Canis lupus familiaris: one gene and its partners. The protein of the gene in region 1 purifies or fractionates together with the protein of each later gene. This does not show direct contact. Links are inferred from orthologs where the notes say so. Each region holds a gene or a part of one and is shown in the gene's direction. Other genes may lie near its edges. The genes, in order: UPF1, XRN1, EXOSC2, SLBP, RBM8A, MOV10 and CASC3.

Region 1 (3,060 bases):
ATGGAGGAAGACAGGGTCAGGAACCCTCTTCTCCCTCAGACTGGTGTTCCTAGCACGTGGCTGTGAGCAGTAGCAGGTGTAACCAGCGACCGGTGTGAGCTGAGGCTAGACATGCATGTCCATGTGCACGAGAGTGATGGAGCTGGCCTGTTGTCACAGAGCTCCCCCACCCCAGGTCTCTCAAGTGTTATAAGGCGCTCTCAGACCTGGCCTTTTAGGACACAAAGTCATGAGTGGTGTTTAGGAGTTGGACATAGTGAACCCAGGGTGCTCTAGGGGACTTAGAAGCCATGATGTTGCTTGAGGTGAAGCCTGAACGTATCTATGTTCAGCATCAAAGGTCAGGTCTGTAAAAAAAAAAAAAAAAAAAAGGCCAGGTCTGTGGAGTAGGGTGGGTGAGGCCCAGAGCCCACTGGTCAGCAAGCCCCTCAGGGTTGGCCTAGGCATGGCCTGGGAGGTGGCCGGGCCCTCAGATCTTAAGAGAGTTCATCTTGTGTCAAGGTGATAAATTCCTCACCTATCTAAACCCTCTGCAGGGAGCCCGCTTCATGACGACAGCCATGTATGATGCCCGGGAGGCTATTATCCCAGGGTCAGTCTATGATCGGAGCAGCCAGGGTGAGTCTGCTGCAGGAGGAGGGGTGGGTGGGGTGGGACCACACTGGCCCTGTGCATGTTGATCATTCCCACGCCTGCAGCTTTTGGCCCTATCACTCCTGGGGTGACCTCCCAAGCCTCAGTCCGCAGAAACTGCCTCACAAAGCTCTTTGTTGCCTTCCCTTGTCTGAAATCAGAGAATTGGTTGTCAGTTTCTGAATACAAATTTTTTTCTTTTTAAGAGTTTATTTATTCACGAGAGGCAGAGATATAGGCAGAGAAGCAGGCTCCACGCAGGGGGCCCGATGTGGGACTCGGTTCCAGGTCTCGAGGATCACACACTGGGCCAAAGGCAGCCTCTCAACTGCTGAGCCACCCAGGTGTCCCATAAACCTTTTTTTTTTTTTTTTTTTTAATACCAGAGCTCTGCTTATGGAGGTTTGCAGGCACATACTGCAGCCCTGCCTGTTTGCCCCTGTGCCCCATGCCATAGTGCTCCCTGCCTACCTTGCCCTTTGTGCCTCCACTCAGTGGGGGGGTGGGCACTCCTGCAGCTCCTCCAGGCCACCCATAGCCTCAGTTCTGGTTGCATGGTCCTTCTTGTTTCTGTGTACTCTCTGAGACCACACTTCTGGGTGGGGTCTCTGTCCTGAGGCTGAGCCTTAACCCCTGCTGTATGGAACACCTCCTCTTGCCTGAGCCAGTGTCTAGACGGTTCCCATTCATCTCCCAGGTCCCTGTCTCCTAAGGCCTTTCCCTGCCCTAGCCTCTACAGAGGGTGACTGGCTCACCCAGGTGCTTGGTGCCACAGCCTGCATTTTACACTGAGCTTCATCTCCACCTGGGCTCACTGGCCATCCTGGGGCCAGGTACACCCCAACATTTCCTCTCTTGTGTGAAGTAGGAAAACCCCCTTTCCTTGCCTAGTATTCTGGTTGCTGAGCTCAAGTGACGGATGTCATTGCTACATCCAGTGAGTTGCTAGGTAGGGTGCTCTGGGCCCATCCTTCATCCTTGAGCTTACCATGGGCCCAGATAAGGCACTTTCAGCCTTGGGGGTGGTGGGGGGTGGCGGGGAGCAGATCATAAGGCTTTGCTGTCATGCCTTGGCTCCCTTTGGCTTCCCAGCCCCTGGAGCAGCTGCGTGCAGATGGAGATATGCCTAGCTCTGGGGCTACCTTGGGGCCTTCATCTTCAGTGCCATTCACTGGTCTGTTCACTCGGGTTTTTTCTTGCTTTTGGGTGGTGGTGGAGAGTGGGGTGCAGGTTACACGAATATAAAATTTTCCCTTTTATTTTTTCAGTTGGAAATGCAACTTAGCTTTAGTCTTTTGGATGCTGGTAGGCCGTGATTCTCCTAAGTCCCCTTGGAAAAAAGGCTTGTTCCCAGGAGCCAGCCCCAGAGAGGCTGTCAAGAGTGGGGATTGAATTGTGAGATTCTCTATCAGGTGGCTTTGCTGTAGGGGTACACCAAGAAACACCATGGCACTCAGAGCAGTGACAAGATGAGATTGACATTCCAACTGTTCAAGCTGCCATTTGTGGGGTGGGCAATTGGCTCATTGGCATGTGGTGGGTGACACCTGCTGTCCACCTTGTGTCTTGCAGGCCGGCCCTCAAACATGTACTTCCAGACCCACGACCAGATCGGCATGATTAGTGCAGGCCCCAGCCACGTGGCTGCCATGAACATTCCCATCCCCTTCAACCTGGTCATGCCCCCCATGCCACCACCAGGATATTTTGGACAAGCAAATGGGCCAGCCGCAGGTGAGTGCCAGGTGGCAGCATGTAGGCAAAAAGCACGTTGGTGTTGGAGTTTGTGCACATCTGGGCTTTGGACAGTTGGGTTTGTTGGTTGGATGCTGACCTCCTTCAAGGAACCCTGGACTTCTGTCTTTCAGGCCGGGGTACCCCAAAAGGCAAGACTGGTCGTGGGGGGCGCCAGAAGAACCGCTTTGGGCTCCCTGGACCCAGCCAGACGAATCTCCCCAACAGCCAGGCCAGCCAGGATGTGGCATCGCAGCCCTTCTCCCAGGGCGCCCTGACACAGGGCTACATCTCCATGAGCCAGCCCTCCCAGATGAGCCAGCCTGGCCTCTCCCAGCCCGAGTTGTCCCAGGTGAGCCAGCAGCAGGGAAGTCAGGATGGCCTGGGGGGGCCCTCCACACAAGGACCTGAGCATGGCTCCGCACAGCACCCTCCGTAGGTACACCATGTGGGTGTAAGCTCTAAAACCTGTCGTTCTCTACACTGTCTTAGGCAGTTGGCCTGGGTTACGTATGTTCTTTGGTGAGGTAACCAGTGTGGATCTCCTGCCACTTAGGCTTCACCAGGTTTTCCAGAATCTTCTCTGGAGCAGGTTCTTGAGGCTGGAACAATACATGCACATCTTAGCTCCCAACTTTGTTTTTCAGGACAGTTACCTTGGCGATGAGTTTAAGTCACAGATTGATGTGGCAC
Region 2 (3,500 bases), on another chromosome or scaffold:
ATATTTTGTAAAAAAGAATTTTGTAGAACTGTTTAGAAAAAATAGTGTCAGCTTTTAGTACAAATTTAGATTTTGTTCCTTTTAGGTTATATTAATGAAAGTGGGCATCTCAACTTACCTCGATTTGAGAAATACCTTGTGAAACTATCAGACGTAAGTAACTAGATATTTTTATTTTCTTGTCCCAGGGTAGCTATAAATGGGCAGAAACCAATTATATCAGAAGAAAAAGTTTTGGTACTTTTACATCAACTGATCCTTCTGTATAATTTCACCTAAATTACTTTTATTTTTATTTGCTTTTTATTTTTGATTTTCAGCCCATAAGAGAGTAACATTCTTTGATTTCTTATGCCCTAGAAGTAGCAACTGTTAAAAGTTTGGTTTCTATTCTTCCAGACATACTTAAATTATTTTTAATGAATTTAAATATTTTTGTACAGTTTGATCGGGAACACTTCAGTGAAGTTTTTGTGGACCTAAAGTGGTTTGAAAGCAAAGTTGGTAACAAGTACCTCAATGAAGCAGCAGGTGTAGCAGCAGAAGAAGCCAGGAACTACAAGGAAAAGAAGAAGTCAAAGGTGTCCATTTTTTTAGGTGTTCTTTCATTTTTCTAGCTGTAAAGTGAAACTGATATTCCTTGTTCCTCATTTCCCTCTTGTGATTTTTGGAGTTGCCTCATTTCATTTTCATTTCTTATTTTCTTCTATTGAACATTTGAAAAAAATTTTTTTTGTTTCTTCTCTGTTAGATCCTGTTACTTAAAGCTGATTTTTAAAAATCAGCTTCTTATTTTTATCCTAGAAGAAAAGCATTGTGTTTTCATCCTATTAATAAGTGTAGAAAATCTTCTAAATATAAGAACCTAGAAAATTAATTATCTTTTGTAAAATATGTCTACTTCTAACATTTAATATTGAGATAGCAATTAGACCTGTGGTTTTTCTTCAGAAATAATTTATATAAGGCACCCCGGGTGGCTCAGTGGTTTAGTGCTGCCTTCAGCCCAGGGCATGATCCTGGAGTCCGGGATCGACTTACACGTCGGGCTCCCTGCATGGAGCCTGTTTTTCCCTCTGCCTGTGTCTCTGCTTCTCTCTCTCTCTCTCTCTCTCTCTTTCTCTGTCTCCCATAAATAAATAAAATCTTTAAAAAATAATAATTTATATATAAAGTCATTTATGAAATACAGCTATAGGCTAGTTTAAGAGTAAGTAATAGCACAATAGCTAATAAATGCTAGGTGCTCAATAAATAAATAGTAGAATCAGAATATGCTAGTACCCTACGAAATATCACTAATGAGCTCTAAAGAATGTCTTGTATGTGTTAACTTGGGAAATAGACCTTTTCTGAAATTTTCCTCAGCTTATTTGTAATTATTGGGTTCAGATAAAATTGAGGAATTTTCTATACTCTCCTTGCTATATTGGTTCTTTTTAGGTTCAAAGCTAGTAACTCTTGCTCCATGAAGGGCATTTATGCTGATTTTCATTAGAGTAGTCCTTCTAATTGATTAGTTTTTCTCAGTGAAACTAAGGAGCAGTCCGTCTACATTCTTCTTTGTTTTTTCTCTTATAGAAACAGGCTCAGCAACTTTTTAGGAATCTATACTTTACTCACAAAACTTACACATCAGTAATCCCTGGCTCCACCCGTCTTAGCCCAGTCCTTAAGCTTCACAAGTCTTCAGGCATATGTAGTTACTGTTAGAGATACTGGCAAAATGAGGGAAACTAGAGGAAGAGCCGAAGCACAGGAAGTTAGCAAAGACCCTAGTTTGGATGAACAAAGGGAAATGGGGATAAGGGAGTAGGAAGAACTAAGTCACTGTCGATAGATAGGCAATCAGAAAATAGAGGAAAGAAAAGTTGAGATCACAAGGGAGGAAAAGCAGATGGGCAGGATATAAAGAATGTGATGAGATGGGATAAATATAGAAAAGCAAATGCATTGCATGAGAGAAAAAATTTAGAAGTAGAGAATAGAAAACATGTAATGTTTGTAACCTTTGGATTCAATCATGAACAAATAGATTATATTAACACAATAGATGAGAAATACCTATTACATATTTTAGAGCAGCCTAAATGTTAAGTTCTGCATAATAAAGATTTAGAAAAGAAGTGCTACAAAACCGAAAACATTTATACAGTACTTGAGGATTATTTTTTGAATGAACTTTTACAGTGTTGTCACTTAAGGATCATTCAGTCCTTTGTAGTATTTTTTAAATATCCCAGTTCAATGTCTTACTTTGAAATGTATCTTTGCATTAATTTTATATTGATTTATAATTTTTGTAGGGCCAGGAAAATGCCATATGTTGGGCTGCTTTAGACAAAAATGGAGAAGAAGTGGTAACTTCTAAGGGTGAGTACAAACTCTATTCGTTGTGTTATTTTTTTGACAGAATAGTCATTGTATCTTTCCTTAGTAAGCACTGATTTAATAATATTAGATGGAACAGATTTCTGTGTTAGTTTATAAGCATCTGCTTTGATATGTATTTATCAAAGAGATAGGTGGAAAAACAAAATATTTGTAATTGTCAGCCACTTTCTGACCTTTTTTCCAGATAATTTAGAAGATGAGACTGAAGATGATGACCTGTTTGAAACTGAGTTTAGACAATATAAAAGAACATACTACATGACGAAGATGGGAGTTGATGTAGTATCTGAGTACGTTTTTAACCAATGCTTTAACTTTTTTATTTTTAAAGATTTTGTTTATTTATTCATGAGAGACAGAGAGAGGCAGAGACATAGGCAGAGAAGAGAAGCAGGCTCCATGAAGGGAGCCTGATGTGGGACTCAATTCTGGGACTCCAGGATCATGCCCTGAGCCGAAGACAGACGCTTAACTGCTGAGCTACCCAGGCATTCTGCTTTTACTTTAAAATAGAAAAAAATAGATTTTTTAGATTTAAATCTAAAATTAGATTTTTTTTTTTTAAGATTTTATTTATTTATTCATGAGAGACAGAGACAGAGAGAGAAGCAGAGACACAGGCAGAGGGAGAAGCAGACTCCATCCAGGGAGCCCGATGTGGGACTCGATCCTGGGACTCCAGGACCACACCCTGGGCCGAAGGCAGGCACTAAACTGCTGAGCCACCCAGGGATCCCCTAAAATTAGATTTAAATCTAATTTTAAAATCTAAAAAGTTAGATTTTTTTTTAAGATTTTATTTTTTTATTCATGAGAGACACAGAGAGAGAGAGAGAGAGAGCAGAGACACAGGCCGAGGGAGAAGAAAGCTCCATGCAGATAGCCCAATGCAGGACTCCATCTGGGGACTCCAGGACCACGCCCTGGGCCAAAGGCAGGCGCTAAATCACTGAGCGACCCAGGGATTCCCCTAAAAAATTAGATTTTATTTATCATAATGTCAGCCTTTCAACTGCTATGGTTTTGAAGAAGGTAATGTTAACAGACGTGTTAGATTCCTGTGATAAAAAGTTGGCAAGTAGAAAATGGTTATTTTTGTTTGTTTG
Region 3 (3,500 bases), on another chromosome or scaffold:
TTGAGCTTAAATGAAATGTCACTGCTTTCTTGTATGAAGTTACATTGAGGCTCTTGCTGTTTTAATGACTGCATACTTCTTTTAAAGATTCACTTATTTTAGCAAGAGAGCATGCACGTGGCGGGGGGGGTGGGGGTTGGGGCAGAGGGAGAGAGAGACAGACTCAGACTCCTCGATGAGCACGGATCCCACAAACCCGAGATCATGACCCGAGCCAAAACCAAGAGCCAGGTGCCGAACCGACTGAGCCACCCCAACGTCCCACGATACCATATTTTCTAAAACAGATTATGATTTATTAGTCTTTTGGCTTTATGTGGGCGAACCTTTTCATTTCCTGAGTGGCACAGAAGCGTGTTTCCTTGTGGAGTGGCTACAGTCACCACACTCACAGCCTTGGAGCAGGAGGTGGAACAGCTGTGCTGTCTTAGCTCACCCTCACAGGCCTGGGTACTGCAGACCTTCCCTCAGCGGGCTGGGGACTTGAGCTGCCCTCCCAGGATCAGGGATGGTTTTGCATCCAGCCCTTGGCCACTCCCCTTGCCCAGTGGCACATAGCACACATTTCAAAGGCACAGTAGGTGACTGGGATAGAGGTGGAACAGAACAGCGCACCTTGGCTCACAAGAGGCTTGGACTCACGTCCTCATGAGCTCCAGCTTCTCCAACTACCAGCACACCAAGCCCAGATTCGAATATAATGCTAAGGGCAGAAGAATGAGAGGAGTATTGAAAGTCACCTTCTCTTGGAGCGCATAAACCACCTCTGCATTCGGAAGTGTTCTCTGGGAGTAATTAACAGTGTGTGTACACCCGGGACTACAGTCATTAATAGGAGTGGCCCTAGTCCTGCCATAACTAGGATGTGTGTTCTGTGGTTTGCTTTTCATGCACTTCACTGATAACCCTTCAGTGACTCGGTTTGTGCCCTCTTTCTTTAGCTGGGCCAGGGAGTTTTGGTCCAGGTTTCTCCCTCCCTAGTAAAACGGCAGAAGACTCACTTCCATGACTTGCCCTGTGGTGCCTCGGTGATTCTGGGTAACAATGGCTTCATCTGGATCTACCCCACACCTGAGCAGAAGGAAGAAGACACGGGGGGCTTCACAGCACACCTGGAGGTGAGTGAGCATTGCCGCTGCCGTCTCTGTACATCTGGGCTCGGTAGGGCTGGCTGTTTGAATTTTTTTATTTTTTAAAGATTATTTATTTGAGAGGGAGAGCGCATGCACAAGTGGAGGGAGGGGCAGAGGGAGAGAGAATCTCAAGCAGACTCCGTGTTGAGTGCAGAGCCTGACGTGCGGCTCTGTCCCTTGACTCTGGGATCATGACCTGAGCTGAAACCTTAACAGCTGGACACTTAACCAACTGAGCCACCCAGGCACCCCCATAGTTGGTTGTTTTAAACCATGTATTTGCTGTAGTCTGGGTTTGAGTCTCCGTTGAGGGGTCTTCATAGCATGATCTGGCCTTCTCTCCTGAAGAGCTAAAATGGAACTGGCTTGATCTCTGTTGGCAGAGGTGGCAGGTTGCAGGGTAATAGCAGCTGAAGAGCCATCCTTTTTAATCTCCCTTGGAGTTAGCAGTTGATTGGTTTGGAGTCCCGGAGGGATCGAGCTGAAGTTATAAACGATTTCTGTGATTTGCTGTGACTGTTCATGGACTTCAGTTCTAATTGTTTACCTTTGCCTCCCCACTGGTAGCCCATCTCCCTCGCCGACCGAGAGGTGATCTCCCGGCTCCGGAACTGCATCGTCTCGCTGGTCACTCAGAGGATGATGCTGTATGATACCAGCATCCTGTATTGCTACGAGGCGTCCCTTCCACATCAGGTACTCCATCCAGCCACGCCTTCACTTGTTTTCATGGATCTGTAAGTTGACAGTGAGTGTTTATGCTCCCTCAGGGATTGCAGGCACATCTCCCAGATACCTTCACCATGTCCAGCGGTAGGAATTGATCTGCTGGACAGCCCTATCAAGTGTCTGGTAGATCTTTCCCCAAGATACTTGTACTGTTCGGGTGTCTAGTGTCAGTCTAAGGATTTGGGGCTCTGCGCTCAGCACAGAGCCTGCTTGGAATTCTCCATCCTTCTCTCTCTGCCTCTTTCCCCACTTGTGCATTCTCTCTCATTCTCTAAAATAAATCTTTATTTTTAATTTTTTTTTAAATAAATAAATCTTTAAAAGAAAATGAAAGGGATATAGAAGGTTTATGGTAACCATGCTTGGTTTCTGCCTCTGGATTGGCTTGATGCTTATGGTTGGTGTCTTTTCTGAACAAATACTTTTTTCTTTTCTTTTTTAGATCAAAGACCTCTTAAAGCCAGAAATAATGGAGGAAGTTGTTATGGAAACACGCCAGAGGCTTTTAGAACAAGAAGGGTGAGGAGAGACATCTGAAGGACAGGACAGTGTGCACCTGACCGGAGCAGTTTGAAAAGTGAAAGTGAAGAATCTGATCTGGGGTCCCATATGTGGCTCTGTGGAGAGCTGTGACACTCATCACTTGACCTACATCAGGCTGCCTCTGGTCCAAAGACCTCCTTTTGGCTATTCTAGGGCAAAGCCTGGGGGAAGTGCTACCAGCCCCTTGGGTCGCCCACAGAGTCCAGCACTAAGGGTAGTTTCAGGCCTTTATTTTTATTTTTCAAAGTTTTGTTATTATTATTCCTTTTTTTTTTTTTTTTAATTAACTTTCAAGCCTTTAAAAGCACACAGTGTTGCAGCCAAATGGACTGCTATTCAGGAATGCTGGAGAATCCTTTTCTTCTACTGACCATCAATTCACAAGGCACAATGCCCCCATGAAATTGCCCCTATAAAAAACACAGCCTCCCTGACCCCAAAATTGTGTTTTGGACTCTGTTCCCCCTCTGCAGCTCAAGTGCAACATTGAAGAATATAGTTAGTAACTTTTTTTGTTGTTGAGACCAAGAGAGCCAGTGGGGATGGGAGGGTTGGGGACCTTAAGCAGGCTCCATGCCCAGTGCAGAGCCAGTGCGGGGCTGAATCTCATGACCCTGAGATCATGACCTGAGCTGAAATCAAGAGTTGGACACTTAACCAACTGAGCCACCCAGGTGCCTGTGTACTTAGTAACATTCAGCAGTAGAATGGAAGAATAAAGTCAACCAAGCAGCCTTTGCTTGGTTAGAATCTCATTTCCCATTGCATGTTCCTTGTAGTGATAGATTCAAGGATATCTACGCCAAGCTGCCTTAATCTGATCTGCCTTTAAGAGTGATTTGTCAGAAGCCGAGTAACTGATGATAGAATAATGTTCAGGGTTCTCTGAGGAACATGAAAACAGACTAAGAAATGCAGATGCGAAAAGAACTCTTTTTTTCCTCCTGTGATTGAAGTAGTAATGCGTTAACTTTGTAATAATTCAGGGTTAAAAACAGGTTGAAGTTCTCCCTGAAGAAAGCTAGAATTTCCTCTGCATTGGTTTTCCTAATGACTGTAGAAATGGTACTCTGATTCAGGTTTGGGAAGCATTTT
Region 4 (4,259 bases), on another chromosome or scaffold:
CTCCATGGCCCTACCCTGAACCACTTGCCTTAACTTTATGCAGCACACCTGCCTCTCAGTTACACACCAGAACCAGGTTCATCTAAGCTGGTTGCAGTCTGTCCTCCAGGCTTCTGAGTCCAGGCTGGCTGCTGGCCCTGTGGTAGTGTCCCCTCTGCACCCCACCAGGCTGCTGTGAGGATGCAGAGAGAGGGGTGCAAGTTCAGGGTGAGAGCACTATGTGGGCTTCCTGGGTGGGGTGGCCCCTACTTAGTTATCTACGCCCCCTCCCCAGAGGTTCTGGACTTCCTGTCGGGCTGGCTTCCATCAACTCCTGTAATTCAGCTGCATGCTTGGCGGGGGGCGGGGGTTGCCTTTCTCCTGGAGGGCATGCACCTCCATGCCTCCTGCTGCCCCAGGAGCCCCGAAAAAGGCCAGGCCTGACTCCTGGCCGGAGATGGGTATTGAGACATCCTACATCCGGACAAGTGCTTTGGGACATAGCACAGGGCCCACCACAGCTCTGCACCTGGAGCGGAATGACGTGCCTCTTCCCCATTCCTGGTGGCCCATGGGGAGGGCAGGAATAGCCCGGCCCACGTGGCTGTGGGTGTATGTGTGCGGGGGCTCACGCGTGGGGCCCTAAGCCGCGCTCCCCCCTCCCCCCCCCCCCAGCTGTTGTGTCCGCTGAGGTGAGGGACCCAGCTGGCGGCCATCGGGGCGGGGCCGGCAAGCCCAGCCCCAGCCCCGGCTCACGGGCTGCCAGAGGAGGCCGGGTCGGGTTATTTTTACTACTAGGGAAAGTTTTATAAAGGGGAATTTATTGTAGCTGAGTGCGACGGTTCTTAATAAATGTTCGTCTGAAGTCCGTACTGGAATGTCCTGTCTTTCCTGATCCTCGCCCTGGGCCCGGGAGAAGCCAACTGGGAAGTGAAGCGCCGTGGTTATGGCTGCTGCAGGCGAGGCGGGCGGCTTCGGCAGGGAAACCAGGGCAGCTGCCGCCGCAGGGCCTAGGCACCGGGACGCCCCTTCCGGGTCCTCCCCTTCCGGGTGCCCGTTTCCCGCTTGCACGGAAGGCTCGGCCAATCAGGCGCGCGCTCTCTCCTCGGCCCCGCTCAGCGCCTGCGACGCGCGCGTGTCCGAATCTCCCGCCAAGGCCCCTTCCCCTCCCCACGCCCTGCTCGCGGAGGCTGCGGCCCGGGCCGTCCCAAGGCTTGGGGGTGGGGGGCACCGTTCCTCGGGCCTCTTCTGGCTCGGCCGTCTCCCGGAAGGCCGTGGCAGCGCTGCGGTCCCTGTCCCCGCGCGGAGCGCGCGCCGCCGCCTGGGCCCCCCCCGCCGGCCTGGGCCCGATGGTCTCGCCCACCGCTGCGCGCGGGAGCTCCGAGGGGCGGGGCCGCCGGCACATAAAGGCGGTTGGGGGCGGGGCGCGCGCGCAGAGCCTGTCAGCGCCGGCGCGGGAGAGGACGCTGCCCCCGCTGCTGCCCCCGCCGCTGCCCCCGCCGCTGCCCCCGCCGCTGCCCCCGCCGCTGCTGCCGCCGGCCCTGGGACCGCCGCCTGAGGACCCCGCCGCCGCCCGAGGACCCCGCCGCCGCCGCGCTCGATGGCCTGCCGACCGCGAAGCCCTTCCGGGTGCGGGAGCCGCCGCGACGGCGACGCCAGGTGAGGCGGACCGCGCGCCCCGGGGCGTTCCGGGCGGGCCGAGGGGTGGGGGGTGTCCTCGCGGCCGGCCTTACCCCTGACGCGGCCTCTCGTCTGCAGCCCGCCGACCCCCGCCAGATGGAGCCTTGGACGGAAGCGCAGAGCCGACGGGAAGCGCAGGAAGCCCGAGGACGCCGAGGGCCCAGTGAAGCCCGAGGGCGACGGCAGGCCCGACAGGTGGGCCCGGGGCGCTGCGCAAGCTGGGGGTCTGGGGCGCTAGTGATGGCACTGGGAGGGAGGGAGGCCCTCATCCTGGCTTCTTGAGGCGCCTGGGGGCCTGCAGCGGGCTAGCGATGGCGCCGGGGGTGGGGGTCCTCATCATGGCTGCTCGAGGTGTCGCGGGGTGGGGGTTCTCCTCCTGGCTGCTCGAGGCGACTCGGGGTTAGGGGTCTCTGTGTGGCTGATTAAGTAGATGGGGTCTGCACTCGGCTGGTTGAGGCGCCGAGGGTCCCTACTTGGTTGCTTAAGGAGATTGTGGCTCACCACCTGACTGGTAGAGGCCCCCAAAGATTCTCATCCGATTGGTAAAGGTGCCCGGATTCCCCACTTGTCTTGTTAAAGAGGCTGTGGGTTACTACCCAACTGGTTAAGGCCCCTGGAGAGTCCACACCCAGCTGGTTAAAGTGATTGTAGGTCCCCACCCAACTGGTTAAGGAGGCTGCGGCCCGCACCCCACTGATTAAGGTGCCCAAGGATCCCCCACCCAGCTGAAGAGGCTCTGGGTCCCCACTTGGCTGGTTAAGGTGTCTGGGGGCCCCCACCCGACTGGGTAAAGACGCCTGGGAGCCCCAGCTGACTGGTTAAGGCGCCTGTGGGCCCCTACCCGATTGGTTATGGAAGCTGTGGGTGGCCTCCCTGACCACTTGTGGTGTCTGTGGCTCAACATCAGTTGATTGATCAAGGTGCTTGTGCGTCACAGCACCTCACTAGTTATAGGGCCGCTGCCTCACAACACTTGGTTAGTCGTGGTGCCTGCTGGTCTCTGTATCTGACTAGTTAAGGCCCCTGTGCTTCAAATGCTTGGCTAATTAACAAGCCTGTGTCTTCTGACATTTGACTATTAAGGTACTGACATGTCATGTGATGTGGTTGAAGATGTCATGAAGGTCTCTAGTGACAGGTGTCAACGGGAGCTGGTCTCAGTGAGTGAGCCTTCTTGGGTTTTTGGGACAGCGTGGGAGGCTGCCCTGAATTTCCTAGAATGTTTCAGTGCAGCTCGTCAGGTTGGTCTCCTGAAGAATCAGTTTAAAGATAGTCATCCCACAGTCAGAAAAGGCGTCTGTATGCAGAATGCAAACTGGGTTTAAGTTCCGCTTTCCTTTTCCCTGTGGCGCTCCCTGGCACTTTCTCTCCGAGGAGCCTTTGCTGCAGCATTCCTGTGAGCTCTTTATTCGGTGATGTGCTGGGGAGGCTAGGACACTGTGCGAACCCCACCCCCGTTTTCTTGTCTCTGTACTCTGATGTGGGTGGCTCCGCTACTCATGGGACAAGGAACCGTTGAAGAAAACCAGGGGCAGTGGTGAAGTCCACGGGCAGGGAATGCCTCTGTTGGCAACCGTTGTGTGGTGACCAGGTGACGATCAGAGTCTGTGTGCCAAGCCCCTCAACAGGGGACATGATTGGCCTGTCTGAAGCCTGACTTAAGGACAAGGGGAAAGGGAGGTGGGGAAGAATGTGTGGTGCACACTAGACTTTTTAGGACAGTTCTTACACTTGCTCATGGGGCAGGGCCGGGGTTCAGAGAGGGGTCTAGGATAACTGTGTTTCACTCTAAACACCTTTGTTCCTTGTGGGACCATTTGCTAAGATGAAGAGGGTGGGGGTAGAGCAGACATGGCATGGGGAAGGCATTGGTAGTTAATGAGGCTTGAGTTTGGATGCAGAAGTGCTCACGTTCTGCATGAGTGGGACCTCTCAGCGCATAGTTCAGCCTTTTGGAGATTTGGGGCCAGAAGATATATGTGGGAAGAGATGCAGAGTGTGGGAGACGGTCTGGACGGTGCTGGAGCTGGATGTTAAGAGAAGCCATTAAACACCATTGAGATAAAGATCTGAGTCTTCAGGGGTCTCCCGTTTAGCTGAGGAGAAAATGTTAAATCCTTACATTGCTTTAGAAGTTTCTTGTATCCCTGTAGGTACCCCTCTAGCTCAGTAGTTAGCCACACAGGTCTCCTTACTCATCTACAGTGGCAGCAATGCCTTTGGCTCTTGCTTTTGGCTCTGTGGGTAGTGCTTGTCTGCCCCGTCTACTGTGGTGGTGCCCGGGAGATGCATAGAGATACCTGCAGGAGAGCCCGGTGCATTTCTATTGCAGAATGTGGGTACTTTCCCTGAAAGGACTCCTCTGCTAAGGCGTAGGATAAGTTCGTGAATACAATGTGCTTACTCTAAAAAACACGGGCTTTAGTTCTACAAGAGGTATTTTCTATCGTTGTATGAGAAAGTTTGTGATGTAGTGGAAGGTCATTTGTAAGCTCCTTTTAAGAGTTCAGGATCCTTTCGTGGCCCAGACCTGAGCCTCGTGGTCCGCTAGTGAGGTCCAGCTTTGGACAACCCTCCATTTGGTTCCTCTGTAGCTGGGA
Region 5 (3,984 bases), on another chromosome or scaffold:
ACTGCCAGCACCTTCTCTAATACTAGGTACACACATTATAACTGTTCGATTAAAAAATAATATGAAGGGGATCCCTGGGTGGCGCAGCGGTTTGGCGCCTGCCTTTGGCCCAGGGCGCGATCCTGGAGACCCGGGATCGAGTCCCACGTCGGGCTCCCAGTGCATGGAGCCTGCTTCTCCCTCTGCCTGTGTCTCTGTCTCTCTCTCTCTGTGTGACTATCATAAATAATTAAAAATAAATAAAAAATTTAAAAAAATAATATGAAAACCTGCAGTCCACTATTGCTGAAGGCCTACATCAGGATTCCGAACTTTGCGGGCAATATGGGTCTTGAAACACGAAATACCTACACCATTCCCAAAGAAGCCGGAGTCCCCATTTTGTTGAAAGTCCCCATTTTGTTGAAAGCCATTAATTTTTTTTTTTCTTTTAAATTCCTGGAGGTGGTGGGAAGAGTTTGAGAGTTTATCTTTAAAAAAAAAGCGGGGGGGGGGAGGGGTAGGATCCCTGGGTGGCTCAGCGATTTGGCGCCTGCCTTTGGTCCTGGGATCGAGACTCGCGTCGGGCTCCAGGCACGGAGCCTGCTTCTCCCTCCTCCTGTGTCTCTGCCCCTCTCTCTATGTCTATCATAAAATAAATAAATAAATCTTAAAAAAAAAAAAAAGGCAGCCGATAGCCGTCTCAGCAATCCTAATTCACAAGATTAGCTTCCTTAAGAGAAATTCGCCGCTGCAGTACGAGCCAGACTCGGCTTTTTGAGCTAGCATTGCTGAATGAACTATTTTAAAAATGTTTCCATCACAGACCCAGCTAGCTGCTCCTCAAAACAGGTTACGGGTCTAGAAGTTTTGAGAGAGAAAAAAAATTCAACTTCCATTTCCTATGGAGTCCAAGGAGACAGAAAACAATCCTCTAATAGAGAAACTGGGCTGTGCTTCGCTGACTACAGTATTTCTCCTTGGTTGCCCTAATTAATAGGAAGCCGCTGCCTGCACCTACCCACTAGCTTGTCCCTTAGAGCACCACTCCATTCAGCTCGCCACCTGCTCAAGATGGCTACAGGAGCACTTCCGACATCTTCCGGAACTAGGCCCGCCTTCTTTTGCGTATTTTCACCGCGCCGGGGGCGGGACTTAGATTTAGCTTCTGATTGGTCAGCTTGACTAGTGACCTTTCCCCTCCGCGACAGTTTCCCGAGGTGCCTAGTGCCTGAGCGGCACCGACGAGAGTAAGAAGGCAGGCAAGATGGCGGACGTGCTGGACCTTCATGAGGCTGGGGGCGAGGATTTTGCCATGGATGAAGATGGGGACGGTGAGGACAGTGGAGGCAGCTGCGGGAAGCCGGGAAGGTGCGAAAGAAGGGAGTAATAGGAAAATAATTGCCCTTCCCGGCAGGGCGGCTGGGAGTAGAACTGAGTTTCGATTGGATTAGAGACTGCGCCCCCTTCGGGAGGAATGGGGGCGGGACCGGGAGGGAAATGGGACTGGAGGTGGTGGGGCTGCTTTCAGATAATGCCTCCGTAAAGAGACTATTGTTGTAAATACCTGTTATTTTTGTTATTCATTCTTTCACTTCTGGGGATCCAGAGAGCATCCACAAATTGAAAGAAAAGGCAAAGAAACGGAAGGGCCGCGGCTTTGGCTCCGGTGAGTGTTTGTGGGGAAAATGGTGTAGAATGGCGACAGCTACGAGTTTTGGAGTCCCCATTCACACTCATGGGGAACAGTGGTAGAAGAGATTTCTGGTGATCTCTTGTATGTTCCATATAGAAGAAGGGTCTCGAGCGCGGATGCGTGAGGATTATGACAGTGTGGAGCAGGATGGAGATGAACCCGGACCGCAACGCTGTAAGTGAGATGGACACTAGTGTATTATGGACCTATGAAATAAAACCCAGTAGGAGTGGGGTCGGAGATACCTTAATCCACTCTTGTGATCTTGCTTGAAGTTTTTCTTTTGTGCACAAACCTCCTTCCCTTCCCCAACAGCTGTTGAAGGCTGGATTCTCTTTGTCACTGGAGTCCATGAGGAAGCCACCGAAGAAGACATCCATGACAAATTTGCAGAATATGGGGAGATAAAAAATATCCACCTCAACCTGGACAGGCGTACAGGATACTTGAAGGTATCCTACTGTTGTTGCCTCTCTTCCCTCACAACCTTTAGACAGCTTTGGTAGTTCTCCCATGTTTTCTCTGATTGGCCAAAGAGCAAAGTTGAAATAAATGAGATTGAAAATTGATTTTGAAAAAAAAAAAAAAAAAAAAAAAGAAAATTGATTTTGTCAGACACAGCAAAGAGATGGAAACATATTTTGAATATATACACAGTAAGGATATATGATGTACATCTGTTGTATAAAGTCTATAGATATTTCTATTTGAGTATGAGTTTAGATCTGAGGAAGAAGATGCTCAGTAGTGTTTGGAATATGAGGGTTTTGATCTGTCTTTTCACTTATCCCAGGGATATACTTTAGTTGAGTATGAAACATACAAGGAAGCCCAGGCTGCTATGGAGGGACTCAATGGCCAGGATTTGATGGGACAGCCGATCAGTGTGGACTGGTGTTTTGTTCGGGGTCCGCCAAAGGGCAAGAGGAGGTAAAGTGGAGAGGGCAAACTATCTTGGTGAAGGGAACATGAGCAGAACAGAATAAGGACATTGTATTATGTTCCTGATGGACCCTTCCTTTTCCCTAGAGGTGGCCGAAGACGCAGCAGGAGTCCAGACAGGAGGCGGCGCTGACAGGTCCTCTGTTGTCCAGATGTTCTCTCCAGAGATTCTCTTTGACCATGCAGCCTTGGAGAAATAGGGCTGAGGTGGAACTCACTGTTTATATTTAATCTCTTATCCTACTTAGTGGGGTTTTTTTTTTTGAATTATGAATAAATGTCCCATTTTTTGTTTTGTACATTTAAAATTACTTTCCTTTTCTAACATTGCAAGCTCTGAAGCATTATTTACAGTAAGGTAGTATGGGTCACTATGAGGATACTTCTAAGGACTCAATTCTGTGTGAATTTCTACATTAGATATCTCAAGTCTCAGAGTCAAAGTATTTCTTTTTCTTAGAAGCTAAGAGAGCAGGGGTAGAAGTGAGGTGTTATAAAAGCTTAGTTACTTTGTTCCTGTATACTCTGTCTGAGCAAATGGATGTTATAGGAATGTCTCTTGTTTCTCCTGTCCTTTCTGTTGCCACATTTGTTTGTACTTCCAGCTGTCTAAGGGTTTGCATTTCCTGTCAGGGCATTCTCTCAGAATCTTTTTTCCTTAGAAGAGTCTATACTGAGTTCTTGGTGCCTTCTTTGACAGCCAAGGGTAAAGGCCCCATAGAAGAGAGGATACAGAGGAGCATTGAGAAGGCCGAAAAGGAAAAGGATGTGGCTGAGGCTGAGGCTGGGGGGGGACTTCATTTAGCATGGTGGGAGAGAACCAGTACCACAGGCCCAGTAGGTAATAAGGTGTCCGGCAGAAGACGAAGGTCAGCAAGACCAGCAGGGCCAGTCGCAGGGCCTGCAGACGTACACAGGAGCGGTTGTCTAAGGAGCGGCGGAGGGCAAATTCACTGGCAGGGGCTGGGATTTTAGAAAACATACTCAAATTCAGAATCACTCAGTTTCTGAATTGAGTGTAGGGTGAACAGATGAATAGGCAGAGATGATGAGCTGGAGCTCTCCTGATACAGGGAAGAGGATATGACAAATAGGTGGTAATGCTGCAAATCCTCTTCTTCCCCAACTGGGAATATATGCTCTCCCCCCCGCCTCAGGGATTATGACAGACATGCTGGAGAAGAGGTTTTGATTGAGGTGTGGTGTTCTATGAAGCTACTAAGTCTACTTGAAGACTTGATGGTGTCTAAGACTAAAGCAGAATACTAATCACCTTTCTCCTTAATCCTTGCCCAGCTAACTCAGCTTCAGAGGGTGGCTAGAGGCTGGTTAGAATTGAAGGCATTTAGAAAATACTGGCAGCATCA
Region 6 (4,256 bases), on another chromosome or scaffold:
AGCCATGTGTGAAAATAATTAAAACCCCATGTGTGAATTGTAGTTTTCTAGATGAGACTGGTTTAGAGAAGTTCCACTGTAAACACAGCCACATCACGTTTTTACTCAAGTTGGTTATGTACTATGGCTGTTTGCATTGTTGCTTATTTTGGTAATGTCTAGGACATGGGCCTCACCAGGAAGCGGAGGGGTGGGGGCGCATTCAGGATCCAGGAGTAATGAGGACTTAGATCTGTGTATCAGAATGGAGCTAGACATTCAGTGTGGGTGTGGTGGATGGAAGGTTTTTGAAATAACTCCTGCTCAGACCCACCAGGTAATTGCAGACAAAAAGGGTAAAAAGGGACTATCTTCCTAGTGTTTTCCTCTACTTTGCACAATCAATTTCTAAGACATAAATTTTAAGAACTTCCCCATTCGCTTTGGTTCCTACTGACTTTGCATTTCCTGTTGCTAAAATCTGTTATTCCTGGCTTTGGTTGGTTGTTGGCCTGGGAGAAGGCACAAGAGTTGCCCAGCTGGAGCGTGGCCTGGGTTCTGGACATTCCTCACCCTGGGTTAGGTTGAGTGTGTGGCCTCCCACCGGGCACTACTTTGGAGGACAACACTACCTTTGATATATTTGTAACTCTGGTATATTTTTTTTTTAAATTTTTTATATAACTGTTATTATCTTTGCCCCATTCTAGTGTGTGTGTTCTTGTTACGAGGGAGCACACACAGATGCTGAGGCTTGTTTTGTGTTTCTGGTAGGAGCCCCACCCCCTTTAGTTTGCTTAATAGTCAGTCTTCCGAAGCGCGCTGCTCTTTCACTTCTCTTCCTGGTACTGATGCTGTAGGTATTAACCAGTTACTGCCTCACAGAAGAGCCTCTCGCTCTCAGGCTGGCATGATGACTGGGGCAACCCTTGCTAATACACTAGTAACAATTAAAGAGCAACACCGACTGGAATGTAATTAAGTGCCCAAATCTGTAGCTCAAGGGCAGGGATCAGCAGCCCTTCCACTGAAACGAAAGCCTGTGTGGCTGGCAGGGAAAAAGTGATGATGCCTGTCGGTGCCGGCGGAGCCCCCTGTCCCGCCTCCCCCACGTACACACCTTATCTCAGAGACAACTCCCCGCGTCGGAAAGCCCGGGGAGGGGGGAGGGGGGAGGGGGAGGGGGAGGGGGCGTGCCGCTCGCTTCCGCGCTGCTTTCCGTCCCCGGCTGTCTGGGGGAGGTGCTGCAGGACCTGCCCCGGCCCGGCCGCGGCCACCCCGGGCCCCGGCCCCTGCCCTTTGCTCTCCCGCTTTTGCAGAAGTACCGAGGCCCTGGGGGGTAGGCGGGGGAGCAGCCCCGGCGGAGGCTCGGACGTCCTCCCGGGCGGCTCGGGGGCCCCGGGCGGTGGCCGCGACCGCTTTCTGGCCAGAAGCCAGGGGAGGGAGCTTGGGGTAAGGGGAGGGCCCTGAGGGAGGGGTCAGACTCAGGAAAGAGTTAATGCGGGGAGGGGGAGGGGACAGGACGGAGAGACCGGAGGGGAGGCTCAGGTAGGAGGCGGACGCAGGCGGGGAGCCCGCGGGGGAGAGGGGCGCCTGCGGGGCCGGGGGTCGGAGTTGGGGGCTCCCCCGCTCGCCCTCGCCCCGGGGCCGCCAACTTACGTCCGCGGCGGCGACTTTCAGTTTCATTTCCGCGGACCCTCCTGCCTGGGCCGCAGCCGCCGCCGCGATGCCCAGCAAGTTCAGCTGCCGGCAGCTCCGGGAGACGGGCCAGCGCTTCGAGAGTTTCCTGGTCGAGCGGGGACTGGACATGGAGACTGATCGCGAGCGGCTGCGGACCGTTTACAACTGGGATTTCAAGATCAGGTACGGGCCGGCCCGGCCCAGCCCCCGGCCCCGGTGCGCGGGCCCAGCTCGCCGTCACCACCCCCGCCGCGGGCCGCCCTGCCCCGTCCGGCCCCGTCCCCCGCCCCGGCCCGTCCCGCCCCCGGCGCTACCAGCTCCCCCTCGGGCGCGAGCTGCCCGGGGGCGGCGCAGGCTCCCTCCCTCTCTTTGCCCTGCTCCCCCCCTTCGCAGCCGTCCCCCTCTCCCTCCCCCCCTCGCACACCCCCCCCTCCCGCCCCCCGCTTCCTCGCCCCGGCCCGGCCCCCCGACCCGGCCAGGGTGGGACCCGGCGTCGGCCCCGCGCCTCTCGGGGGGGAGGGCGGGCACCCGCGGGCCGCGTGGGAGCTGCCCCTGCTGCGGCGGCCCGGGCGCGCGGGCTCCGCGGGGACCCCCGCCCGCCCCCGCGGAGCCGGAGCCGCAGCCGGAGCCGGAGCCGGGGGGCCTGGCCGACGTCGGGCAGCTGGGCCCGGAGGCGCGGGGCGTCGGCTACGTGCGCGCCAGACCTCCACTGGCACCTGTGGCTCCTCCGTGGAGACCCGGGGCCGGCTCCCGAGGCCCTTCCCGCCGTGGCTGGGGCTGTCGGGCCGCCCCTTCCTGGCAGCCTCCGAGTGCAGGTCAGACGCTCCTCCCTGGAGAACCACAGACTAGTGCCTCGGGGAACACCTATCAACAGGCTGCGGCCGCGGCCCAAAACCACGGCACAGTTTAGCGGGGACGGGCGCGAGGACCCACGCAGGATGCACGCGGGGCGGCGGGGACGTGGGCCTCGCGCCAGCCCCCCTGACAAGGGCTCTGGGTTCAGGCAGACCCGAGGGCGGTCAGGCTGGGTTCATGGAAGGGGCGTGGGGGGCTGCGGGAGGACGGAGTGGCTCCACAGTGATCGGAGCATATCTCGAATTTTTTTTTCTTTTTTTGGTAACGGGTGTCACATTTTAAGAGGGGCGTTAGCAGGCTGGAGCAACACTGGGGAAGGGGCAACGATTATGACCCGTTGGCGCCCTCACCCTGGGCTGGGCACCGTGGGGAATACGAAGAACACCACCGGGCCCAGGGGAGCAGGCGGCTCCAGGAGCATGGGCTCTGCTGCAGACCATATACTATCATAAATGGTAAAGTAACAGGAATAGGATAGAGGTAAGAAACCTGCTGAAGAAGAGTAAGGAAAGAGCAATTACTGTTGAGACACGTTATCAGCTCTGCACATCCTTGAATTCACTTCTGTCCACAGGATGGGAGTCCCGCGGGCCTCTGAACGCAAGTCAACTACTACTTCCGACTCTGTGAGAGAATGTGGTGTTTGTTTTTTGTTTTTTTAATTTTTATTTATTTATGATAGTCACAGAGAGAGAGAGAGAGAGAGGCAGGGACACAGGCAGAGGGAGAAGCAGGCTCCATGCACCGGGAGCCCGACGTGGGATTCGATCCCGGGTCTCCAGGATCGCGCCCTGGGCCAAAGGCAGGCGTAAACCGCTGCGCCACCCAGGGATCCCAGAATGTGGTGTTTGGATGCTTGTTAGACCTGTGCGGAAGACTTGATTTAAGACTCTCGCTGTAGGGTTACTGTAGTAGAGGAGAGAGCTCTACTCCCAACACAGCAACACTGCTGAGAATTGATAGCCAACAGCAGAGTGAGGGGTCAGTGCATGGGAAGTTCCCAAGAGGACACGTGAAGGGGTTGGGGGCAAGGTTGAGGCCTAGTGGAGACAGGGGTTCAGAGGAGCCTGACTAAAGTTTGGCCAAGGAGAGAGTCTTATCATCGTCTCTAAACTAAAGCTACACAATACGTACTATCCAGCCCTGGGGAAGAACAGGCTATATGGTCACTGCATACCCAAAAACGAGATAAAATCTACATTATGGCTGAATTCAAGGGGTCTCCAAAGTTATTTTTACTGTATGCGCTTGTTTTTTATGCAAACAAGGTACCACTTCCCCTCATGATTATTAGAGAATTTTATGTTTTCTTATGCTAATACCGTACCACCCCTCTGTAATTAGGGAATTCATGGAGAAGGTGGCACTGACCGGGGCTTTGGATTTGAAGATTTAAGGTAGTTTCAGCCCTCAGAGGAGAAGGAGGAGAAAAAGCTTACTTGTTGATTCATAGTCTGTCATGAGATCCAGTCAAAAAAAACCTTAGAGGGGCACCTGGCTGGTTCAGTCGGTAGAACATGCCGCTCTTGATTTTCGGGGTCGTGAATTCAAGCCCCGTGTTGAGTGTAGAGATTCTTTTTTTTTTTTTTAAGATTTTATTTATTTATTCATAAATAATAAATGCAGGACTCAATCCCCAGACTCCAGGATCATGCCCTGGGCAGAAGGCAGGCGCTAAACCACTGAGCCACCCAAGCGTCCCGAGTGTAGAGATTCTTTAAAAAAAAAACAAAAAACCTGAG
Region 7 (4,072 bases), on another chromosome or scaffold:
TGAACAAATTGCTTGTATTCATTTAAAAATTGAACCCAGACCAAACAACTGAAAGGTAAAGTGGCAGGTTATCGCTTTCCTTATTTAGACACTAAACTTGGCAGCTTCATTTGCATCAATTTACCTTATGATAGAAAAGATCCTCCAGATCTTCCTTTCTTTCCAACACTTATTAAATCATACATCCTCCATTTGAACTCTGGCAGCTGGGTTTTGGAGCTGGATTTACAAGTTGTCACATTTGGCCCCTTGTTTAACTAGTTGAGATCCTTTTAGATCCTGAATCTATCTATGAAGGCATTCAGATTGGCTTCTAGTTTCATATTGTCTATAAATTTGGTAAATATCAGATCTTTAGCCATGTAGTTTTTAAGAAATACTACAGAGGACAGAATCCTGTGCTTTGCCATAGTGACCTTTCTCTGTTTGATACATATCAATAACGTGCACTCCTGTAGGTATGCTAATCACTTAGCTTATGCATCTTGAGTATATTTATTATGGTCCAAAGAAATTAAGACTTTTTTTTTTCATTGTTGACCATGTCTTGCCAAAACCCAAGCATTCCTCTCATCTACCGGTCTGGTAACCTTTAAGAAGGAAATCATGTCAAGATACTGAACCAACGCTTGTTCCCATCATCATCTCTTTTAGAATCAGTTCCAAAATCTTGGCTGAGTCTGGCATCATACCAGCCTGCACTTTGGAAGAGGTGATAGCTGGGGTGGGAAGATACAAGATGAGGAAATGAGAAAACAAAAACATGGTAGTGATGCAACACTAAGTCCTCGAGCTTCACTGCAAACAATTGCTTTCTCCTTCACCTTTTAGCTTCAAATGGGCTGCTGTGGCAAATCTGATACATCACAACAGCTTTAGAGGTTTACCTTGACTGATTTTACCGAGCAAACGAATGCAGTAAAATGATCTGCTTCAAACGTAGGTAGAAATGAGAAACGGAAATAGAAAACTATGAAACAGCTCCAATGCCGCAGCGAAGCTGTAGCAGGTGGGCGCCCTCCACTCGGAAGGCCCAAGATGGCTGGGCGAGGAACCGGAGGCGGCTGCCCGGAGCTCAGCTCCCCACGCCCGGGGCCTACTCGAGGGAAGACGGGGTCGCGGAACGCCCCCGGTACGTCACCGATTACGTAATCCCACTCGCCTGCAAAAGTGCCGCAGGGCGGCAGCCCCGCCCCTAGCCCCTCCCCCTGAAAAGCGCGGTGGCCCGTGTCGCACGTGAAGCATGCTGGGATTAGCTCTCGAGCCTCCCGGCAGCCCCTGCGACGGGCGCGGTACGTAAGGAGCTGGCCGGCGACGGCCGTTCTCCGTAAGATGGCGGATCGGCGGCGGCAGCGCGCTTCGCAGGACACGGAGGACGAGGAGTCTGGTGCTTCGGGCTCAGACAGCGGCGGCTCCCCGGCGCGGGGCGGCGGGAGCTGCAGCGGTAGCGCAGGAGGCGGTGGCAGCGGCTCTCTGCCTTCCCAGCGCGGAGGCCGAGCTGGAGCCCTTCATCTGCGGCGGGTGGAGAGCGGGGGGGCCAAGAGCGCTGAGGAGTCGGAATGTGTGAGTGCGCGCGGGTGGGCCGGGCCGGGGGGCGGGGTGTAGGTGGTGAAGGGACGCTGGGAGTTGATGGTAGATGCTGGGGCGTATTGTGTTAGAGAAGAGAGCTATCCCAGTGCAGTGTGCATCCGGAGCCCCGAGGGAGGAGGTGGTGTTGGGGTTTCTGGGGGAAGGGCAGACCCGCTGCACGTGAAAAGAGGATCTTTATTCAGAAATTGGGGCTGGAAGTGAAGAGACCGGACCTCCCTCGTTTGCTACTTGTTAAAGATGTACCTTTTCTCATCTCCCTTTTCAACCATTTTGTGTTGAGTTTTCAGTTCCCCACCCTCTGGGTATCAAGGAACTAAATCATGTCATCTTCTTTCCTTCAGGAGAGTGAAGATGGCATCGAGGGCGATGGTGAGTAACATCATGACAAGTATTTTGCCCGTCAACTCACATCACCTATTTCCACCAGTTGACATCCTCTCAGACCGTTAAGGATTTGGGGGCGGGTACCACTGAGTGGCTCTTTGTAACACAATGCCTACAAGCTTACGTTTTAGCAGTATGATCTTGGGCAAATCACTCATTGAGCCTGTTTCCCATTTGTAACTGGGAATTATGATTTTCTCTCTCTGATAGATTGATGTCAGAATTGAACGAGGGTCTTAGCTTGACTCAAAAAGCAGTGAGTAATAACTTTTTTCTTTACATATTTCTGTTTCCTTTCAGCTGTTCTGTCGGATTATGAAAGTGCAGAAGACTCTGAAGTGAGTGTGATAGGCTTTTTTTTTTCCCTATGGTATATGGGTTGGAAATTTTTTGATGTATTTTAAGAACGTGTATACACCTGTGGTTCAAAAGTACCATGACCTCCTTGTTATTTCTCTTGTGCATTCTTCATTTATGTTTCTCAAAAACTGTTATTAAAGGTCTTGTTTATTTAGAGTGAGAGAAGTTTGGTGCATTCCACATCAGGTTTCATGTGTTAGTACTGTTAGTAGTTGGCTTTTCACCCTGTCTGAAGAAAATAAGTTTCTAAATAAGAGAATGAGAACATCCTGAAGCCCTTCACAGAATAAGAGTTCCTTTTATGCTAGGAAGTGAAACCAGCTAATTGAATTTTTTTTTTTTTCCAAGTGTATGTGAAGACCTTAAAAGGAGAGGATCCTGAGTTGTTTGTATCAGAAATATCCCTGTTTCTAGGGAGCTTTCTCCCTCCTTAAATTCAGGAGAAAATATCCATAAGCCAAGCTTTTGTGACTTTATTTGTTTTGGTTAGGTGAACTACTAGAGATGCTATTTGTTTCCTGGGGTTGAATAAAGTCCTAATTTCTGGAATTTGGGTCATGAGGTTATGGGCAGGAGGAATTGGATTGTGGATCAAAGGTTCATTCTGTAAGTTTTGTAGAACTGTTACTACATATTAGATTTCCATTACATCCTGGAGATGCAACAGCAAACACTATACTAAAATTTCTGTCTTTAGGAATGACTTAGGAAGTCAGATAAACATGCAGGCAGTCCTACGAGTTGGTGACAACTGCTGGGGATAGGCTTAAGCTTAAGCAGGGTGTTAATGGCTGAGTACTGACTCCATCTTAGGCCGTCGAGAATAAGTTGGAGTTAGGCCATGTTTTAGGCAGAGGGAACAACAGCTGTGAAAATCCAGACACAGGAGAGAAAACTGAATATTTGGAAACTTGGAAGTAGTTTGGTGTGGCTGGAATATTGTTAGGATGGATACCAGAAATAAAGGCTAATTAGTGAACAGGGATCAGATCATGAAGGGGTTTACTTGTTCCTTTTCTTCATTATGCACCTGCTGTATGCCAGGAGTTATACAAGGCACTAGAATAAAAGACAAACATAGTTCTGCTCTCCTGGAATTTACATTCTGGGGAAAAATAGACAACTTTAAGCAAGTAATTACAGTAATGTTTGGTGTCGTGATATCAGAAGCACAGGGCGCTTTGGAAGCACATGGCAGGGGCAATGAATTGTTTGGAAACGCTTAGAGGATGGGATGTTGAAATAGAGACTTGAAGGGTGAGTAGGAGTGAGCCAGGCAGTATTCTAAGCAGAGGGAACACTGTTTGGGAAGAAGGTCTAGAAGGGATGGACTGCATGACAAATTGGAGAATATGAAAAGTTTAGTGTGACTGGGGCTAAATGATGAGTCTGAGTCCAAATCTTAAAATACCTTGTAAGCCTGATTAGAATGTATTTGGATTTTATTCTAAGGAAGTAAGAAAGCATAACAAGGTTTTAAACAAGTGTGATATGGATTAGACTTAAATTTTAAAGAAGTGTTTTTCAGAACTAAGGAACTCCTGCATCAGAAAATCCAGTTGGAAAAAAAAAAAAAGAAAAAAAAAGAAAAAAGAAAATCCAGTTGGCCAGTTCTTTTTTTTTTTTTTCAGTTGGCCAGTTCTACTGAAACAAAATCTTGCAGAGGGAGGGAAGACTCAGGCATTTATGTTAACAAATCCTGGATTGATGCTTATGCACAATAACATTGAGAATTATT

Evidence for each region.
Region 2: the proteins of UPF1 (region 1) and XRN1 purify together in Homo sapiens (affinity purification with western blotting; 4 studies listed by BioGRID and IntAct, with this or other methods). This does not show direct contact. The link is inferred for Canis lupus familiaris from reciprocal best matches to the Homo sapiens genes UPF1 and XRN1.
Region 3: the proteins of UPF1 (region 1) and EXOSC2 purify together in Homo sapiens (affinity purification with western blotting; 3 studies listed by BioGRID and IntAct, with this or other methods). This does not show direct contact. The link is inferred for Canis lupus familiaris from reciprocal best matches to the Homo sapiens genes UPF1 and EXOSC2.
Region 4: the proteins of UPF1 (region 1) and SLBP purify together in Homo sapiens (affinity purification with western blotting; 4 studies listed by BioGRID and IntAct, with this or other methods). This does not show direct contact. The link is inferred for Canis lupus familiaris from reciprocal best matches to the Homo sapiens genes UPF1 and SLBP.
Region 5: the proteins of UPF1 (region 1) and RBM8A purify together in Homo sapiens (co-immunoprecipitation; 7 studies listed by BioGRID and IntAct, with this or other methods). This does not show direct contact. The link is inferred for Canis lupus familiaris from reciprocal best matches to the Homo sapiens genes UPF1 and RBM8A.
Region 6: the proteins of UPF1 (region 1) and MOV10 purify together in Homo sapiens (affinity purification with mass spectrometry; 3 studies listed by BioGRID and IntAct, with this or other methods). This does not show direct contact. The link is inferred for Canis lupus familiaris from reciprocal best matches to the Homo sapiens genes UPF1 and MOV10.
Region 7: the proteins of UPF1 (region 1) and CASC3 purify together in Homo sapiens (co-immunoprecipitation; 5 studies listed by BioGRID and IntAct, with this or other methods). This does not show direct contact. The link is inferred for Canis lupus familiaris from reciprocal best matches to the Homo sapiens genes UPF1 and CASC3.

Annotation. Positions count from the first base shown.
Region 1 is NC_049241.1:44,646,267-44,649,326, reverse strand, and holds part of UPF1 (regulator of nonsense transcripts 1), read left to right. Parts: intron 1-536; coding exon 537-618; intron 619-2,205; coding exon 2,206-2,367; intron 2,368-2,501; coding exon 2,502-2,719; intron 2,720-3,014; coding exon 3,015-3,060. UniProt on the Homo sapiens protein: RNA-dependent helicase required for nonsense-mediated decay (NMD) of aberrant mRNAs containing premature stop codons and modulates the expression level of normal mRNAs.
Region 2 is NC_049244.1:38,642,693-38,646,192, reverse strand, and holds part of XRN1 (5'-3' exoribonuclease 1), read left to right. Parts: intron 1-85; coding exon 86-153; intron 154-443; coding exon 444-581; intron 582-2,306; coding exon 2,307-2,373; intron 2,374-2,578; coding exon 2,579-2,684; intron 2,685-3,500. UniProt on the Homo sapiens protein: Major 5'-3' exoribonuclease involved in mRNA decay. Required for the 5'-3'-processing of the G4 tetraplex-containing DNA and RNA substrates. The kinetic of hydrolysis is faster for G4 RNA tetraplex than for G4 DNA tetraplex and monomeric RNA tetraplex.
Region 3 is NC_049230.1:53,357,402-53,360,901, reverse strand, and holds part of EXOSC2 (exosome complex component RRP4), read left to right. Parts: intron 1-941; coding exon 942-1,118; intron 1,119-1,700; coding exon 1,701-1,829; intron 1,830-2,304; coding exon 2,305-2,385; 3' UTR 2,386-3,500. UniProt on the Homo sapiens protein: Non-catalytic component of the RNA exosome complex which has 3'->5' exoribonuclease activity and participates in a multitude of cellular RNA processing and degradation events.
Region 4 is NC_049224.1:62,917,211-62,921,469, forward strand, and holds the start of SLBP (histone RNA hairpin-binding protein), read left to right. Parts: upstream 1-1,459; 5' UTR 1,460-1,579; coding exon 1,580-1,638; intron 1,639-1,737; coding exon 1,738-1,854; intron 1,855-4,259. UniProt on the Homo sapiens protein: RNA-binding protein involved in the histone pre-mRNA processing.
Region 5 is NC_049238.1:59,380,387-59,384,370, reverse strand, and holds the start of RBM8A (RNA-binding protein 8A), read left to right. Parts: upstream 1-1,184; 5' UTR 1,185-1,246; coding exon 1,247-1,313; intron 1,314-1,588; coding exon 1,589-1,648; intron 1,649-1,771; coding exon 1,772-1,849; intron 1,850-1,990; coding exon 1,991-2,127; intron 2,128-2,468; coding exon 2,469-2,605; intron 2,606-2,704; coding exon 2,705-2,750; 3' UTR 2,751-3,984.
Region 6 is NC_049238.1:63,618,773-63,623,028, reverse strand, and holds the start of MOV10 (helicase MOV-10), read left to right. Parts: upstream 1-1,456; 5' UTR 1,457-1,477; coding exon of another isoform or gene 1,478-1,527; intron 1,528-1,659; coding exon of another isoform or gene 1,660-1,842; intron 1,843-4,256.
Region 7 is NC_049230.1:22,374,961-22,379,032, reverse strand, and holds the start of CASC3 (protein CASC3), read left to right. Parts: upstream 1-1,272; 5' UTR 1,273-1,332; coding exon 1,333-1,563; intron 1,564-1,931; coding exon 1,932-1,959; intron 1,960-2,274; coding exon 2,275-2,312; intron 2,313-4,072. UniProt on the Homo sapiens protein: Required for pre-mRNA splicing as component of the spliceosome. Core component of the splicing-dependent multiprotein exon junction complex (EJC) deposited at splice junctions on mRNAs.